5 linked regions of the Oryzias latipes genome follow. The protein of the gene in region 4 interacts with the protein of the main gene of each other region in a pairwise test. Links are inferred from orthologs where the notes say so. Each region holds a gene or a part of one and is shown on either strand. Other genes may lie near its edges. The genes, in order: march5, amfr, rnf111, ube2w and rnf5.

Evidence for each region.
Region 1: the proteins of ube2w (region 4) and march5 interact in binary tests that used the Homo sapiens proteins (3 or more experiments, as listed by UniProt). The link is inferred for Oryzias latipes from reciprocal best matches to the Homo sapiens genes UBE2W and MARCHF5.
Region 2: the proteins of ube2w (region 4) and amfr interact in a two-hybrid assay, tested with the Homo sapiens proteins (2 studies listed by BioGRID and IntAct). The link is inferred for Oryzias latipes from reciprocal best matches to the Homo sapiens genes UBE2W and AMFR.
Region 3: the proteins of ube2w (region 4) and rnf111 interact in a two-hybrid assay, tested with the Homo sapiens proteins (2 studies listed by BioGRID and IntAct). The link is inferred for Oryzias latipes from reciprocal best matches to the Homo sapiens genes UBE2W and RNF111.
Region 5: the proteins of ube2w (region 4) and rnf5 interact in binary tests that used the Homo sapiens proteins (3 or more experiments, as listed by UniProt). The link is inferred for Oryzias latipes from reciprocal best matches to the Homo sapiens genes UBE2W and RNF5.

The regions. Positions count from the first base shown.
Region 1 is NC_019873.2:3,260,529-3,264,720, forward strand, and holds the start of march5 (E3 ubiquitin-protein ligase MARCH5), read left to right. Parts: upstream 1-1,390; 5' UTR 1,391-1,709; coding exon 1,710-1,753; intron 1,754-4,192. Other genes in the region: cpeb3 (cytoplasmic polyadenylation element-binding protein 3), read right to left, coding at 576-675. UniProt on the Homo sapiens protein: Mitochondrial E3 ubiquitin-protein ligase that plays a crucial role in the control of mitochondrial morphology by acting as a positive regulator of mitochondrial fission and as an important regulator of immune response.
Region 2 is NC_019861.2:26,256,896-26,260,410, reverse strand, and holds part of amfr (E3 ubiquitin-protein ligase AMFR), read left to right. Parts: intron 1-722; coding exon 723-763; intron 764-1,312; coding exon 1,313-1,445; intron 1,446-1,540; coding exon 1,541-1,674; intron 1,675-1,773; coding exon 1,774-1,884; intron 1,885-2,117; coding exon 2,118-2,314; intron 2,315-2,385; coding exon 2,386-2,489; intron 2,490-3,008; coding exon 3,009-3,143; intron 3,144-3,291; coding exon 3,292-3,467; intron 3,468-3,515. UniProt on the Homo sapiens protein: E3 ubiquitin-protein ligase that mediates the polyubiquitination of lysine and cysteine residues on target proteins, such as CD3D, CYP3A4, CFTR, INSIG1, SOAT2/ACAT2 and APOB for proteasomal degradation.
Region 3 is NC_019861.2:21,213,801-21,217,315, reverse strand, and holds part of rnf111 (E3 ubiquitin-protein ligase Arkadia), read left to right. Parts: intron 1-862; coding exon 863-1,017; intron 1,018-2,393; coding exon 2,394-2,585; intron 2,586-2,745; coding exon 2,746-3,110; intron 3,111-3,375; coding exon 3,376-3,515. UniProt on the Homo sapiens protein: E3 ubiquitin-protein ligase. Required for mesoderm patterning during embryonic development. Acts as an enhancer of the transcriptional responses of the SMAD2/SMAD3 effectors, which are activated downstream of BMP.
Region 4 is NC_019878.2:16,091,638-16,095,062, forward strand, and holds part of ube2w (ubiquitin-conjugating enzyme E2 W), read left to right. Parts: intron 1-2,054; coding exon 2,055-2,157; intron 2,158-3,425. UniProt on the Homo sapiens protein: Accepts ubiquitin from the E1 complex and catalyzes its covalent attachment to other proteins.
Region 5 is NC_019869.2:5,392,530-5,396,599, forward strand, and holds the start of rnf5 (E3 ubiquitin-protein ligase RNF5), read left to right. Parts: upstream 1-1,258; 5' UTR 1,259-1,413; coding exon 1,414-1,595; intron 1,596-4,070. Other genes in the region: rRNA-processing protein UTP23 homolog, read right to left, coding at 1-50. UniProt on the Homo sapiens protein: Membrane-bound E3 ubiquitin-protein ligase that mediates ubiquitination of target proteins. May function together with E2 ubiquitin-conjugating enzymes UBE2D1/UBCH5A and UBE2D2/UBC4.

The sequences.
Region 1 (4,192 bases), on a different chromosome or scaffold from region 4:
TTATTGCGTAAAATGAGACAGGACCGCATTCCCACTGATCCCATTTCCCCTCGTGGAACAGAGTGTCCCTCGCCATTTCAACCGATATAAACCTAAGGATCACAATATAGTGCCACTAGAAAAGTCTTTATTCTCTATAAACACAGAAAAAGGACTTAGTTTGCAGCATAAATGTGCTCCTTGTGCGTTGCTTCGGCTCAACGCCTTGCGTAAATCCAGCGCACATTCTGCAAATATGCCGCAAGTTAGGTTAGATTTACAGACTGAATAAAAAAACAACAACATTTCTAGCTGTTGAGAATAAGAAATACTCAAAGCACACAGTAACATGTGTCATTTGAACTAGTTTTAGAGGCACAACAATAAATCAAACTCTGCCTGGCCAATGATCAGCAAAGATTTGACGACAATTTAAAGCTGTGGTGACACTGAAACAAGCATCGTTTTCAGGCCTTTTAATAGCACGGATGTTTTCAATCAATACTCCACGTGTGTCAGATCATTTTAACAACATAATCGAAATAAAAAAACAACCAGCAGGACTTTCAATGAAACACTCGCTGCACTCAGCCCACCGGGGAATTCGGTGTTTTCTCCTCCAAGAGAAACGCTTCCAAGGTCATGGACGCGGGAGACTGAGCTGCCTGGGGGGGCTCCCCTCTCTGGCCTTTTCATCACACACCCTGACCAAAACAGCTGACACTTGAAGCAGCTAGTGTGGTCGAGACATCCCCGTTTACATGACACGATGTTGCCGTGAAATCCCTCTTTGATATGTCCTGTAAACGTCAGAACAGCATGCACGCGCGGTGACGTCGCCCCTCCGTTAAACTGCCATTACCTTTATCGTTCACCTTTCTGAGACTGTGAATAAAGCTACTTCTCCACGCCTCGTCGGGCTTTGGATTTCACAAACGAGCTGCCCTGGTGGTGCCGAAGTAGTCAGCAGTTGCCTCAACAGCTGATTGACTGCAGCGCATGGATAATACCGAGGTGGCTGATGGGACTTGTAGTTGAACGGGACTTGTAATGACAGCACCAGTTATTCAAAAAGGTATTTAATGTTTTAAAATTGGTGTAAGGCTTGTATTTAAAGTCTGAATTAATTTATGAAATAAGACGTGAAATTTCTTGTGAAAAAACGTCAGGTAGGAATTATGTGGTCTCCGTTCTTGCGTAACGGAGATCCGGACGCAATTATTGAAAGAATTCTTATTTTTGTCTTCATATCCTGGCGTATATAGCAGAAAACCTCTAAAAATGTAAACATAAATATTTTTAAACTAATATGTTTGCTAAAAATCGTAGTAAACAAACTTATGTCTTTATTTTTAAAATTTTCCAGCTAACTTCCGTTTTGGGCTTATGTTGATGACGTCAGACACACGGTACCTTACGTTACCTCAGAGACGGCCAGTCAATGGAGTCAAACGGTCACGCAAACGAGGCCGTAACAGGTTTAAAAAGGATTTCTACCCGGAATAGCACATAGTCCGTAGATCGTTGCTATTCGGATAGACATGACTATTAGGCCGTAGATAATATTGTTGTTGGACTGCGGCTGACGCGGGAAACCAACGCACGAGCCCGTGCGGCTAACCAAGCTAGCTAACCGAGTCATCAGGGGCTGGATTTCGAGTAAATGTATGTTTACTGCAGTTAAATATTGACAGCAATAGGGAGAATTTCGACCCCACATCCCCACTACAATGGCGGAAGAGGCTGCAGTGGTCGCGCAGCAGAACCTGGACAGGTGAGTTCCAGCAACAACACGCTGCCCCCCCCCCCCCCCCCCGCGTATGTATACTGATGCTATCTGAAATAATAGCTCATTGCTATGAACGCACATTTCTGTGTCTCGTACTGTATAAACACTTAACAGAATCCAAATAAAGACCTCTCTCATTAACCAAACATTATACAGTACTACTATAGTATTAAAACATGATAATTGAGTTTTGGTACTTGTTCAGGAGGAAAATGCTTTCAGTTCTGAAGTGATTCATTGTTTGTAAGTTTATGCATATTTGTGAGTCCCTATGAGGATCTTTTGATTTATTGTAAAAGTCTTCCCAATGACCTTTTGAATTAGGATTTTCCAGTTTTTAGCCAAAATGATCAAACCTGTGTTGTTTTTATAGGACATAGTTTCTGCAGAGCAGCAGGAGTTCATCAGTAATTTGCCTCAGAGTGAGCACGACTTTTGGCGTGGAGCAAGCCGCTCCCCTTCCCGTCACCCAATATCTGAGCTCTCTATTTACACCCTCCCCCGCTAGCGTTCACCAGCATTACAACCCCAACCTAACATCAGCAGTGCAGCAGAAATGACGAGCAATGTCAGATCTATCCAGGCGTCCAGTTCTGATCCAGATTCCAGCTAAGACCAGGAAAACAAAGACCTTCATGAATCTATTTGTCTGCAGGTGGATGATCAGAATGGAGCAGAGCAGGAAGCTTAAATCCTGCCCAGCAGATTCTCTACATCACAAACAAGCTCCTTTTCCAACTGCATATTTTTGTCTGCTCCTGATTTATAATGATTTAAATAAAGAAAACCTCAGAAATGCGTTTTTAAGCTTATCAGAAAAATACCACAAGAACATGTTAAAAATGACATTTTCATCAGACTGGGTCTTTAAACGTTTGTCAAATTAGCTGTGTCATTAGCAAAGAGCGGCTGTTGCCCCCAGGTGTACCTGAGGACACAAGCTGCTCTACTAAGAGAGGTTAGTGGGCGTCTGCCCCAAGAACCTGTGTTAACAGCGTGACATCTGGAAATGCCCGGTCCATTTGTGTTGTTTTTCAACCGGTGTGGCATGGCCCACTAGTGTGCCGTGGGAGATTGTCCTCATTCACTGATCTAAAAACATTTCCCATCTCCAGGATTTCAGCTCTGTGTTCATCCAAACAGGTCCTGATAAAACACTGAGTAGTTAGGAATATGAAAGATCGTAAAATACTTTTTCTTTGTGTTCATTTGATTCTATAAAAGACATTTTGATAAGAATGACGGTACCGCGATTTAGCCGCTGCAGCTCTGTTTTATGAAAAGTCCCGCCCCTTTAACTGTCTCCACCAATCATTCTTGGAGGCTTAATCACACGTCATCAGTCTGACCAATCAGAAGTGGTTAAATTCTTCACTTCCTTCTTCAGATTCTGTTCATAAAGTCTCTCAGTTCTAACAAAAATACCAGCTAAAGCTCGTCTTTAGCGGTGTAGCTTTCCACAGAATCCGGTGTCAGACCGTGGAACAAGTGAACAAAACCATGAAGCTCAGAGATGCGAGTCTCTCTGCCCTCGGCGGCAGTTTCACACTACATCTCCCATGATGCATTGGGTTAAAGTGACAGCTCCTCAGCGCACAATGTGAACAGGCTGCCAGTTCACACCTACGGTCCCTCTGACCATCACCAGGACGTTCATGCACATTTATACTCCAGTGGAGCCGCACTGGAGCTACTGCCTGAGCCACTGCCGCCCCATTTCACGAAGCAGTCTTTCCATCAAATCCCTCTTTTAGTGACCCAGTGAACACCAGAACTCTTTGTAAGGCTGTAGGTATTCTAGGTTCTTATTTTCTTAATCTTGGTTGCATCGTTTTTTTGACCTGACTTAAAGGCCACTGGGCGGTCAATGGTGTCAAAAAGTTAGGGACTTGGATATCAATTTATTGAATAGAAATTCTTCTTTTGATAGTCAATAGTATTGATGTAAATCAGTTGGGGCCTGAAAGCGCTCTTCAAACTAGATAACCAGCCGTGCCATGATGTAGAGTGAGTTGAATGTCATGTAGCACCTACGTCTAACCACACACCGATGACGCTCCCCAAGCATTTCTGTGCACAGACAGGACCCCGAGGCCCACAGCACTGACAGAATCTGATAAAGGCTTATACAAGTCATTTCTGGTTGCACATTCTGTCAATATTGAGCTTTGAAATAATCTTTTAAGCATTAAAAGAAAATGCATGTGCCTCAGCTGCGTATTGCAGGTGTGGGGCAGAGCTCCCCTTTGTGTACAGGAAGCTGATAGTAGTGAGGTGTACGCCACGTACACAGTTGTGTACCCAGACTATCGGTGGCAAACAGACGGCTCTTATCTGGGCTGGCTACCAGCTGCCACTGCAATGCAGTGTTTCACAAATGTGTGAGGGAGACATTTGATCCAGTCTGAACTCTAACTTACACAA
Region 2 (3,515 bases), on a different chromosome or scaffold from region 4:
GAGGTTGAATATTATAATGGTGCGTTTTGGAAATATGTGATAAAGTAAGCAGTCACGTCACAGGCTTCTTCTGAGCTTTCATGCACATTGAGCAAGAAAACCTAAAAAAAAAAAAAAAAAAAAGGATTAGAGATGCCCACAGTGGCTGCTCATATTTGCTTACAGTTGAGGTAAACAATGGAGGTTTATCCTCAACAGAAATGGCGTGCATCACAATATTTAAAAAGAATGGGATGCATTTAAAAACTCAAAATCAGTCAATGAATGCAGCATTCATGTGTAACTGTGGCTTCTTTACCACACTTTTGTTTCAAAAAACATAAAATACTCTATTAGATAATCAGCTGACATGCTCAGTTTATTAAACATTCATCACAGGTTAGTTTTGTATCATATTTTGAACTGTTTTTAATAATTATGCAGAGTTCTGTTTACCTTTGGTGGGAATGTCATTGTATAAAAACAAGAACGTCCATCTATGTTGAATATTATGATGCATTGGTTTATTTTTCCATTCTAACTTATAAACATTTTAGGCATCTGAGTAATTTTTGCCATCATATTTATGGTTGAAGTACCTTTTTAAAAGTAATATTATTTTAAAAAAGACTTGGAAAACGTAACAGAAATGAGTCTACTTGGAGTTTTTGCTAAGGTTTGTTCATTGATTCTGTATTTTTTCCAAAACAAACCGCATCATTAGAACATTTCTCTTCTTTCAGTGTTTATTAGTGACTGTGCGGACTGGACATGTCATTATGCGGTGAGTATGTTAAAACTTGCAACACATCAAGCTGTTGGGATGACATGAAGCATGCAAATGATGGATTTGACTTGTCATGGGATTGTTTTGGTTTTATTAGCTCTGACATGAAAGACCTTCTTGTTGGGGGAGGGGCTTAGTAATGTGCAAAAACTCTGATCCTCATGAAGTCGGCTGATCAGGAACGGGGGAATTTTTCGTTTTTACAGCGTTAAGTAAGAACTTGGGACATATGGAGACATTTTTAATGCTATCCCATTTTAAGGGATGGTTTTACTGTAATGTTTTTGTGTTTTATACTCTAATGTAGCTAATTAAAATTAAACAAAAAAAGCTTTAGCTAGCATTTGATTGCTGCTTTAAAGGGGCCTATACCATGCTCAGAGCGCAGGTTTTTAGAGCAATACTGAGAAAAGCAGGACTTTTCTTTTCCTGAGGAAAGAACATTCTAATACACTTAAAAGCTCAGTAAATTGTTTTGCATGGTGCAGCCATTTAAATATATTTCCTCCAGTCCAAAATCTTGTTGACATATTTCGTATCTTTCAGTTACTCCATCCATCTGTGGGATTTGAATCATCCAGGGACCTGGGAGAGCAAAGGCACTTATGTCTACTACACTGACTTCATAATGGAATTGGCTATGCTGTTTCTTGACCTCATGCACCACATCCACATGCTGGTACCATTCAGTCTCAATTGAATGTATATCTTTGTTTTTTCTTCTACGTTTGTCCTTTTCTACTTTAAGTTTCTATCTTTTTTTTGTCCCATTAGCTTTTTGGTAACATCTGGTTGTCCATGGCAAGCTTGGTTATCTTTATGCAGCTGCGATACCTTTTCCATGAGGTCCAGCGGCGTGTTCGCCGCCACAAGAATTACCTTCGTGTCATCAACAACATGGAGGCCAGGTGGGAAAATGTTGCCTTTGTTTTTTTTGACTGGCTCATTACGTTTCAGCCATGATTTGTAATTGTGTGTCACATTTCTGTTTTGGTTATTTTTGCCAGATTTGCTGTTGCTACAGCTGAAGAGCTAGCGGCCAATGATGATGATTGCGCCATCTGCTGGGATGCCATGCTAACAGCACGCAAACTACCTTGCGGTCATCTCTTTCATAAGTAATGAAGCAGTAATCTCTGTATAAGTTCAGCCAGATGGACCTACATTCTATTTATGATATATGCACATATTTTATAAGTTTTGTTGGTGTTTATTTACCAAACAAAGGCTTTTGTTCTCTGCATTTATCAATTTTGGTGCAGTGATTGATAAACCTTGTTGTCCTTAGGTAGAAATGACTTTTTATTTGACACTGGACTATTTTGTTTGATTTATGTATTTATTTTTACAGCTCCTGTTTGCGCTCGTGGCTGGAGCAGGACACGTCGTGTCCTACGTGTCGAACGTCGCTGAATATCAGCGGCGATGGAAGTCAGGTGAGAAATCAGCAGCCAGGGGTGGGTTTGGAAGACAATATCGGCCCAGTTGGAGCTGCTCCAGACGCTCGGCCGCACATCAACCAGCACAATCACTTCTTCCACTTTGATGGTAAGTCTGCTGCACAGATTGAATCATAAATATCTGCTGCACCTTATAACAGTCATACATTCCTCCTTTAGGATCTCGCATTGCGAGCTGGCTGCCCAGTTTTTCAGTGGAAGTAATGCACACCACCAACCTTCTGGGCATGGCTCCACCAAACAATTCCCAGCTTATGGCCATGGTAAGTCCAAGCCATTTTTGAGTTAAACTCAAAAATGTGTCACAATTGTGAGATTGTCATCTGTTAAAGACTTGCGGGGAGTTTTTGTATATTGCTACAGAGATCCACCCAAAATTTAAAACGTTAATAAAAAAAAGTCTCACGACCTCATATCTATTCCTTTTAACATGAACAAAATGTATAGAAAAGGGAAGAGTGTAGTCTTTGATTTTCTTTGTAAACAAACATCAGTTCCTCTATGGGTTTTATTCATTTTTTTTTAAAAAGTGGAAGCATGAGTTGTTTTCTTTACTGTATTTGTTCAAACTTGTGTTGATGATAAGAAGTCAGTATAAGACCGAAAAGACAATATGATTCTCTTTTGGTGCTTGCTTTTAATAAGATTTAGAAAATATTGGCGCGATTTAACTGAAGCTGGTCAAGCCAAAGATAACAATAGGATGTGTCTTTGTATTTTCTTTAAATCCTCCTTCTCCATTTATATTCTCTTCTTTCTCTTTGTGCATTTCTTCTCAACAGACGCATCAGATTCAGGAGATGTTTCCTCAGGTGCCCTCGTATCTTGTAATGCAGGACCTTCAACTGACTCGCTCTGTGGAAGTCACAACAGACAACATTCTGGAGGGACGCATACAGGTGCCCTTCCCCACACAGGTCAGTATCTTTGCATTCTCTGCAGCAGCGTTCCCCAAAAGAAGACTTGTCATATGGGTTTCTTTGGTTGTCTTAAACTGTTTTTGTGTGACTTTTTTCGGGCTTCCATTTGTCCAGCAAAATTGTGTATGTGTCTTCTTCCCTTCAGGCCATAGAGCATTCACCCACAAATGAAGAGCAAGCAGGTCCCAGTGGAGCATCTGAACAGAACGCCAACGAGTCGGACAACATTGAGGCCAGAGGGGGTCGTTTCTCAAAGTCAGCTGACGAGAGACAGAAGATGCTCATGCTGAGGAAAGAGGAGATGCTCCAGCATGCACGCAGGTTGGAATGCTGCTATTCACTATGAAGGGATTAGGTAGAAAATGACGG
Region 3 (3,515 bases), on a different chromosome or scaffold from region 4:
GGTTTCTCTGCATAAACTGACTAAAAAACAAAAGTGGGGATTTAAAGAATCAACTCATAGCTTCCAGGTCACTTGACTCGCCAGCAGTTTTTACAGCATCTATAAAACGATAGTGAAAATGACAGCAGACCAAGATTACAAATGAATTGATCACAAACGGGAAGAAGCAGGGTTGTGCTTTGGCTCCCCAGGTACGTGTTGTTCCTCATCTCTGCTGTAGATTTGTAAGGACTCTCGCTTACCAGTAAAATCCCAAAGCTACAAAGCTCCATGGCATCCAGCTTTACGACACTCCCACAGCCTCTCGTCCCTTGAGCTCCTTCCTCTTCTCTCTGATCTTTACGGCACCGTTGGGGGAAATGTGACTATTCTCTTGTTTCTCACTTCAGTCTCAAAGGCCAAGGAGTAGAGCGATAGGAGCCTTTGAGAGAGAAAATTAAAAAAAAAAAAAGCAGAGAAAAATACCAAAGACAGAGCAGTAATATAAGTCAAAAATACATTAAAAAGGGGAAAAAAAATAATATTAGAGCTAAAGTGAATGTAAAGCATTTTGATGACAAGCAAACAGTTGACATTAACCAATTCATCAAGGCAAAAGCTTTGCAGGGACCATCATGAAGCCAGGGATTTCATTTTATCTTTGTCCACCTAAAGCAAACATTACTGCAATTTATTGTCTTGTCATTTTATTATGTCATGCAGGCATGAAATTCTGTCCTCACTTAAGTACAATGCTTTTATACTTTTTTTTGTGTGCGCTTGATTTGTTCATAATTTACTGCATTAACTTTTTACACAAACACATCTGTACCAACCCTCATGTTGGCCCAGTGGTACAGTTACATGTTTTGTGTATCTGCAGGTCACGATCTCTGGGGGGTCTTGGCAGAATTTGGCCCAGTAGTTGCTCTCAGAATCGCCTGCAGGAGCCCCGAGGACGTCACCGACTGTCCACAGTTATCCAACCACTGCGTCAGAATGCTGGGGAGGTCGTGGATCTCACTGTTGATGAAGATGGTAATTATGAATCAAGTGGGGTAAAAATAGCAAGGGCATTCCATGTCATGCTGGAAAACAAAACAGAACGTTGTCCTAAAACATTACTTAAACATTAAACATTACTTTTCAAATTCAAATTCAACTTTATTTATATGGCGCTTTTCATGCTACAGAGCATCTCAAAGTGCTCCCCAGAGATAGAAAAAAATAAAATAAAAATAAGATAAAAATATAGGACTTAAAATAATGAACATAGTAAAAACTTTGCCAAGCATGAAAAAAATCCACAACCTGCCTTTGCAGGCTTTCAATAGGCTTAGTCTGCTCCGTGACAGGATTTCCTTTGTCAAAAAATTTGAAAGCTTTAAATTAAGTCAACATTTGCCTCTAAATAACTGTTGACTGTAGAAGTACTAAAAGGAAATTTGTTTTTACAAAATAGTGTTATTTCTTTAAAAGCAAGTTGTTTTTTAACTTTGACCGTGTCATAAGTCCAATCCGCCCATGATGTAGAGCAAAGACTGTTTGCATGCCTAAAGAGAGGGAGAGAAAAGTGAATTTGTAAATATGAAAAGCAGATGGAGTACTAACGCAGTGCAGTGCGCAAAGTCGTTACTTGTCAACTGGAAAATATATCCATAGAAGTACACAATTGTCAGGCTGATACTACAATTATTCTACTACAGAAAAAGTGTCAAAATGGGGGCTCTCTGGCTTTAATGCCGGAAAATTGAGCTCCCAAGCAGCACCTAGAAAATTACAAGCTGGAAACGTTTTTGCTAGTCAGACAGTTACCTTTGACAAGGTATGGTACAAGTAAAACTTCAAAGATGCTCCAAACTCGATAAAATAATCTATCATATACTTAAAAAAATGTTTGTGCTATTACAAGTTAACTGTGGTTAGAACTTTCTATTTTTTTGCCAAAAAAGAAAGACACATTCTTACTCTTTATTGCAACAATTAAACATTTAAAATAAGAAAATAAACCTTGAAAAAAGGTACGAAATGATCTGAAACTGAGATTTAAATGCAGAGTGCTTCCAGTCAGTCTACTAACAAACCAGAGAAGACCAGCAGCAAATTATTGTAGTAATAACCGTTAAAAACAAATAGCTAAATTATTTTGATCCTAAAATCAGTAAAACAATATAGTTGAGCTTCTGTGTTTAAAGCTGTCATGTGGATTTTCCTTTGTGTTCTCATGTCAAACAGACAACTTTAGGTTTGTTCTTGACAAACCCTATAGTTGACAGGAGCTTGATGCAGTCATTCTGAAAATGGTTATTTTCATCTTTACCTCTATTTATTCATTCTCTTTTAATATCATTATTGCAGCTTCACCAAGAATCATTGATTGCTGCTAATGCGTTTTTCTAAAACGTTCTTTACAGACCTTACTGTTGTGCCAACAACTTCTGGGAGCATTCACACTCAAACAGTTAGGTCATCTTCTTCGTCCTCCCATCACACGTCTACCTCAGAGCTCAATGATGCCCCAGGCCCTTCAACTAGTTGCTCTAGTTCACTACCTGAAAGTATGCACATGCAGAGACCAAGTGGTTCTGCTCGCACATCTGCAGAGGGTAAGAAAACCAAAAACGAAGACTGCACATTTTGTTTAGATTTTTTTTTGTAAGGCTTTAGTTTTATATTTTGCTCATTGAAGTCTGAGACTTCTGTAAGACCTGTTGGTGTGTTATGTTTTTTAAAAATTTTTTACCAACTGTTTCTTGCTTTCATCAGATGACAGTAGAGCAAGTCTGTCTGGAGCAGCAGGAGACAACACAGGCACGGCAATGCCCAGACTCCCATCCTGCTGTCAGCAGCACTCCTCATGCGGAGGAGGCCCCTCCCCTGCTCACCTGTCCCTGAGCCACGCCCATCCCAGCTGTTTGCAGGCATCCTCATCTCAGCAGAGCAATTCTCAGCACACTCACAACAGTGCTCATCACTTTCACCACCATGTGCACCATCCTGCTCCACAGCCCCCAGGCACCGTGCCCTTCATAGAGCCCAGCTGCCCCGTGGAGCGTCCCGGTGCTCTCCCTGCACCGTGCGCTGGAATTGGCAGCAACAGTGCTAACAATGCCGTTCATTACCATGACCAGGTATGGCTTTACTGTACCGTGCGTACACATGGAGGATGTTCTTTAGTTAAAGATTAAGCTTTATGTTCCTCCAAGCGAGAAGGTTATAGAAGGTTATGTATTTTACACAAATATAAAATTTTTGCCATTTATTTTCATAGTTAAGAGCACTAAAAGCAGACTTAAATTGTTAGTCATGGAAAAAAATTAGTTAAAAAAACCACATTTGAAGCTCCATGTTATTAGTTAATCTTATTATTCTTTAACATCTGTTTTCCTCCCACAGCAAACTCTGCCAGTAGACCTGAGCAACAGCAGCGTTCGAAGCAGTGGAAACGGTGGTCCGAGTTTCCATGGCAGCACTTCAGCTTTTGACCCATGCTGCCCAGGCTCCACATCGCGACCCCCAGCTTACGTTTCACATGC
Region 4 (3,425 bases):
CAGAATTGACAGATTCTGGTGGTTGACTCTTAGGATGATGATGAGAAATTACATTAACCCCGTCTCAGGCTAGTGTTCTTAAAATGATGAAGGAAAATGTCAAAATCTAAATAAATTCATTTAATTCATAAAAACAAAAGCAAGTAACTATTTTAAATATCTACAAACTCCACTGTATTTAATAGATGAATTGAATACATGTTGTAAGCGGAAGTATTTTGTAGTAGTTTTAGTTTAAATCAAAACTGTCTTTTCCATGTTTTCCTGCTTAGTGACAGTAAACTATATTATTTTCAGAAAAGATACTTATAAATGCTGAGTGAACATGTTTAGTTGTTTTAAAAATAAAATTGATATGTTTTGGCAAATTACTTAAATAACATGTTATGCAACTTCTAAAAATACATGCTAATAATAAACTATCATTAATAAAGTGAAGTGGTCAGTTAGAAAAAGTTGTTTATATTAAGGGATGTTTTTCTGCTTCTGTTGTTGTATTCAAAGAATAGAGAGAACAGATTACAGTTCATTCAAATGTATTCTGTTGTATAGTAATTTTGGACCTGATAAGGATTTTGATGATTCTTTATTTAAACCATTTTTTTAAATGTTTTTTTGCATTAAAATCTAAACTAAAAGTAACTTCAGGGTTTTTCTCTTTTATTTTTTTCTACTAAAATCTATCAAATGTTTTTATGTTTAAGAGAGAGCTGTAGGATAGTTATCACTTTTGTTGGGAGATGTTTTTTTTTAAATAAATGTTATGACTTGCACAGCACTTATAAAAGAACGAGCAGCCAAAGTGCCGAACACAGAAATTAAATATAAATAAAATCCCTAAACAATAAAAGAAAGAATAATGATAAAACGATGAAAGCCATGAAGCATTACTAGTTAACCGGTTTGTGTGGTCACATATTATTTTGGCCACTTTATCATTGCTGCGTCACTGCCACAATCTTTTCCACCATTGTTCTGGCAGTGTGATGCTGAAGGACAGCAGATACTGCAGAAAGTGACCTGCCGGCACATTTCAGCCGTGATCCTGGCGTCTGCGTCCCATGTTCCATATCTGGGTACACGGGACTGCTTTCACAAAACGAGTGTCAAAGATAAAAGGGGAGTGTGTTGTCCCCGAAATGTTAAATGAAGGTGAAGAAAGCTGCAAACTCCTGGGTTTTTTCCATCACATGGAGATCAGATAGCTTACACGTGATACAAGAAGCAGTTTGTGAGGAAAAGAACTGTGCTTGATGTCTGTATGTTTTTTAATTGTTTACAAATGGAATTTAACCCAGGATAAAGAGCTTCTCTAAAGTATGTGCCGTCTTGCCTCCTTTTTGGTTTGCATGTCATAAAGCAGAACCAGAAGATTATGAAACAACTTGTCATTCTATACTGACCAAATGTTTTTCTTGCAGCAACTAAGACTAAATGTCTGATTTGATTCTTTCTATCATATAAATAAAGTAAATGTTTAACCTCTTTTAAGTCTATCTTCATAAATTCTTTGTTCATTCAAGGAGGGACCACTTGTGTTTAGATGCAGTTCAGAGTGAAATCTTTTCTATAAAAATTCTATAATTTTTTTTAATAGAATTTAAAGAAATGCACTAAAACATTTTTCTGGGCTAATGTCGATTATCTATTCAAGTTGTAAAATGTATATTTTCCTTGTTATTGCCAGATAATTGACTCAAATACCTGTGTGCTCATAACTATCTGTTGCATGAAAGCCAGCTAATTTAATAACCGTTGATTCTACCTTCTAGCCATAAAACAAACCATCTTACAACTTCTAGTGGATCAACATTTTGGCCAGCAGCTGTCGGTGAGCTGCCCATTTTAGAGGCTGCTGTTGTTTATGGAAACCTACTGAACATTCCTCTCCTTTATCTATTGCTTTATTGTTCCCTCAGTGGGGGTAGAAAGCAAGTCTGAAGACATTCTGACCATATTTTTTAATCGCATCACAGATTGGATGTCTCGTTAATGCTGCTTTTATTTTGGTGGGGTTATTGAATCCTGTTTTTTGTCTCTTGCTTGTCTTTTAGGTGGATTGTAGATATGGAAGGAGCGCCTGGGACTCTGTATGAAGGAGAGAAGTTTCAGCTACTTTTCAAATTTAGTGGTCGATATCCTTTTGATTCACCCCAGGTAAGCACGGCCCCACACGACCCTGAATGTGAGACTTTCTAGAGCTCTTTGTCCCGTGCAGCTGGAAAGGTTTAATAATAAATCAGGTTCTTTTTAAGAACTAGCAGCTAGACTGAGTGTCTACGTTTGACGGAACTATTGGAGGCTTTGAAAGATCTCTATTCAGACAAAAAAAGACAATAACATAAGGATAAACTAAGGCAATTGCTCCTTTTCCATGGCTGATAAGAAGTTTTTCCTGTTTTAGACTAAAGGTTCTGCAAATCAATGTGAGAAATGGAGGTAAAAGTTGTTTAGTACCTGTACAGAGCTGCTTTATGGGTGGTGTATTGGTCACACTCTCTTGTTAAAGGAGCGTGCTTTAGAAACAGTGGAGCTTGGATTCAGTCAAATAGTTTCACTCGACTGTTTGTTATGCTAGTCAATTTCTTGACCATCTAAAAATCCAAAATTCCGAACTAAAACCCAACTGAGCTGCTTGGACACAACTCTATTTACTGTAAGGCCAGACTGTCAAAGGTCGGACAGGTCAATACTGTTCGATGGCGTTCTGTGTTTGTGTTCGGTTGCATCAACATAATCAGAGAAAATGTCCCTTACTTTCTGGGATTCTCCCCAACATGCTCATAAATATGTTGCCTTATAAAACTGACCTGATCTATTGATTTTCTGTTTTAGAACCACCTGATGTTAGACTCTAATGAAAGGATTTCTTTGACGTAGTTTACTTCTATAGATGTTCACACTTCTCATTTGCTGCCAAAGCTTAAAGTTAAACACTTCAAAATCTTCACTCACCACCATCCTGAAATTTCTCGACATCTTTCGATTTCTAGACGTATTGGCTAATTTTGTTCATAGATTGCTAGTTTTTGAATAGCTTTTAGGTTTTTGGATTAATCAATCTTTAGTTTTGTGTTATGTTTGCTTATAAATAAAGCTGTTCTTGTTTTTTTAAATCATTTTTTTATTTTACCTGGAAATAATTTGTAATTTTAGATGTTCCTATCTGCCTTGTATTTTGCTCTCTGTGAGTGAAGGATTATACATCTTAACCCCAATCTCAGCTCTTTCTCTGGTGCTATAATCTGGATTATATGGACATTGATTACCTGTTTACAAATCAGTAATAACGTAAGAAGGCTAAAAGTACAGTCTTCCCATATCGAATCAATCGTACAAAACAAAGAAAAGCTCTTATTTTTAGCAGCATAAACCATAATGTAAACAGTGAGTAGAAGCAGCTGGAATGAGGAAACTCTTTGCCA
Region 5 (4,070 bases), on a different chromosome or scaffold from region 4:
TTGTAGAAGCTAATCGTTTTCTTGGCTTGTTTCTGTCGTTTGATCTTCATGTTCCGCCTTGAATAAAAAAAGAAATTAGCGAAAGCAAAAACAAAGCTTTAAACTTAAATTAATGTCTTCTTTCTGCAGTCAAAAAGGGTCAAAATAAGATCCTAAATCAGCGTGGAGCTGTACTCAAACGGTTTTGTGCGTAGGCCTAATAGCTCCGGAACGAAACAAAGATGTCTGCTTAAAGTTCCGGTTTTGAAACGGGGATGTTCATAAATGAGTCAATTAAAAAAATAATGTTTTAAATAAAAGACACTGTTTTTCTTTCTTTTAATCTTTAAATCTTTTTAATGTTTGGTTTTCAGATTTAACGGGTTCTGTCAGTTTAAAAAAATGCCTATCCCGGTTAATTTAATACAGTAAATGCAGTTATACATTTAATGTATTGAAGAAGGAAAAAAACGGTTGGGATATATAGTTATAATTTAACTTGAATAACAGAATTTTGAAATGTTAGTTTTTTGAAATTTTTTAGAAACAATTGTTTGTCTTTGTTTGTTATTTACATCCTGATTACTGACTGCCCTATTGTTTGTATTAAATTGATTCAAAAGAACACATCATTTTATGATAATTATCATTGTTGTCATTTCCGTTTGTTTTTTAAACATTTTATTAAAACAAGACACAAGACAATAAGTAAAAGAAAACACTTTAAATACTATGCAACTTGCACCACTGACAGTGAACATTATCAGTCAAGAGGTTAACAAGGTTTAATTAAACTTAATATAGAAAAAAAAACAAGACTCTTTGCTGTTTATTTAAAATCTTCTCAGTGTGCCATTAGTTATTACTGTTGTTGTCAGGTATTTGTGTGTGTATGAGTGTGTGTGTGTGTGTGTGTGTGTGTGTGTGTGCGCGCGTGTTTATGTGTGTATAAGTTTGACACATCACAATATTTGTTTTGTTTTGCCTTTCTTGAATTTATGAATAAGGGTTATTTAAAATAAAACACTACCGGATGTAACCTTAAACATTGGCCTTGCTTCATAGAATAGAAGAGAATAGAACTTTATTGATCCGGTAAAAAGTAATTTATTTTGATACCATAGTGCAATTGAAACCCGCAGATAGATGATAAACATTGAAAATACACTTAAAAAGTAAATAACCACGATAATCATTGTACAGTCTCCATGAGGCGTTTGTATTTACATTTTTAGCCCCGCCCCCCGACTCTTACAGCATTATTTTGACCGGAAACGGAAGTGGTTTCTCAGACAGCAGCAGCAGCCACAACTCAGTCCAAAGTGAAGACTGTACCATCAGTGTCGGACTCGGCTAACGCTAGTACCAGTCGGGCACGAGTGGCTTGGGTTGACTCAGTTCGGATTACTTCCCTTCGCTGTTCCGATAACCGTCATGGCGGCGGCGGATCCCCGCTACTCCAGAGGAGGTTTCCCCGCGGGGGAAAGCAGCAACGACCGCGACGGGCCAGGCGGCGGCAGCGGGGAAAGCGAGCGGGACCGGGCCACCTTCGAATGCAATATTTGTTTGGACACAGCCAGGGACGCTGTCATCAGTATGTGCGGACACCTGTTCTGGTACGAAACCAAAACAGTAGTTATTAGAGTGTGTGGGGGTGTTTTTCCATGATCTTTTGATGTTATTTGCCCGCGCGCGCGCGGCCTTCTTTAACGTCAGCTGTTGACGGCGGAGTCACGCCCCTCGCTGAAAACCACAATAATAATAATATTAAAAATAAGAATAAAGTACAAACTAATATTTTACAGAGGCAGGTCATAACTGTTTTACTGCATTACACCTAAACATTTTTTACAGCATTTTTATCAGCTGTCAGTCAAAGGTGACGTATTAATCTGTGACATATTAACTCTTATTGTAAATGCTTAGTGACCATTTCTAACTTTAACATCAGTCTGTGATGAGCCAAACTTGCTTCAGCTTGTTGCTGTGATTTAATCAGCTATTCTGTTTAAATCCACTTTAATCTGAACTGGCAGCTCACCACATCTGAAAGGAACCTGCGGCCAAAGACTTTCTAGCATTTTCTCCCCCTTGTGATCCAAACTTGCGCAACCTTCAACCTTCATGTTGTCGGTTCACACAAACTCAGTGGTTTTTGTGTGACTAATCTGGGAGTCGCTGATGTGACATCAGGGTCAGCAGGTTCCTATCAGCTGTAATCGAAAGCAGCGAAGGGTTCAGTGTGGAAACAAGCACAGGCTTGGACTTTGGTGGTTTAAGGCGGTTAACACATCAGAGATTGTTTATTGTGCAAAATCCAGAAAAGAATTGATCAAGAAGGACTAAAATCTAAGTGCAGGAAAATATAATCTTTGGAATGTATTGAAGAAGCTGTAAAAAAATGCAAATGTACATTTTCCTTCAACAGTTCTTGCTCATTTGGGGGGGGTTTGCAATAGAATAAAAACAAATCATGAAAGTGATTTATTAAAAATGTTTAACATGTTCTTGTGGCATTTTTCCGATGAAAGAGGACAATTATAGAGAAAATTAAACATTTTCTGAGTATTTTGTTATTCAAATCATTGTGAATCAGGAGCAGAATTTTAAAAAATTCAGTTTGAAAAAGATCGTATTTGTGACAGAAAATAAACTGGGCGGGCCATAAGCTCACAGATTAAGTTGGGGTTGTGTGAGGGGCTGTAAGCCAGCAGGACAGCGTGTAGACAGATGCATGATGGGAAGTGGCATAACAGCACCATCATAATTAAAAGGGAACTATTCATCAATAGATCAGGTTGTAGAGCGACTCTGATTACTGTTGGTTATATTTCCTTTCATTTTCTTTGCTGGCTTTTGTGATGTCACAGCCGATCGTTATTAAAACCGCTTCTCATTTCTCTTTCTGCGCTTCCTGTACTCTGTTTGAAAAGCTGGAAAATGTATATTTGATATGGCTATGATTGTCAGAAGGAGGCGATGAAGCCAGTTTTGTCTTTAAGCTGCTGAACAGAAATAGAAAAAGTTGGTAAAACAGAGAAAATGTTAGACATTCAGGAAACTTTGAGACATTTAAAAAAATAAATCCACACATATATTTGCATTTATTGTATCCATTATATGTCTTTTAATATAGTGTCACTCTTTTTTTAGAAGTTTGTAAATATAAAAACAAGTATTGGTGTGTTTTAGAGAAAATCTGTCCAGTTGAATGAATCGGTACAAACACGCCGTTTTTTTTCTCAGACAGAGGAAGGATTTCTGTTGTAGCTTAACCAGCCGTTGATTGCTGCTACTTAATATAAACAAAAAGAAGAACAAATAAAGTCTAATTAACTTAAAACCCCCAGAGGAAAAACCGCTCCGGAGCTCTCTGGGGGTTAAATCCCGGTCCAGTACCGGATCAAGTTCTGGTGGACCAGCTGGTGCGTGTCTGTGTTTGCAGCTCCCACGGCGGCGTGCGCTGATGTAACGTCGTTGCTATGTTACCCCCCCCCCCCCCCCCCCCCCAAATCTGTACGTAACATGATGAAACTTTGAAGCAAGGAGGTCAGTTGATGACATCAGCTCACCTGCTGCAACATCTCATCAAGCTGCTTGTGGAATAGGATTCATCATCATCTTTGACTTTTAGCTATGCAGTGTCGGATTTTCCACAAACTCTCACTGAAATGTGGTGTATTTTATTGTAAAGTAATATTCTGCTTAGATTAGTTTTTCAAGCCATCTCTGAGATGATTTCATAAACTGGTGTTTGGAGCCAAAAAAAATGCGTCTGACTTCATTGCAAAGGTAATCTGAAAAACACAAAATGATGAGATAAGCAGCTTTTATTTTGAAGGCACAAAGTCCTGCGGCTTCTCAGTTCAAATAAATCAGGTTTTTATCACTTGTTGCAGGTTAAAGTTGGTATTGAAACTCAGGATTTGCTCTGTGTTGATCCTTGATCCTAAATTGACTGCGGGGACGCCGATCCCCGTTTTTTAAACCCAAGCAGTGCAGATTACTGCGCCGGAGTGCTGCTGTGGTTCTGAAAGTCCCGCCCTTCTTGTTGGTTTGCATGCTCCAAGTTCCTTCATGACTAAATCTCA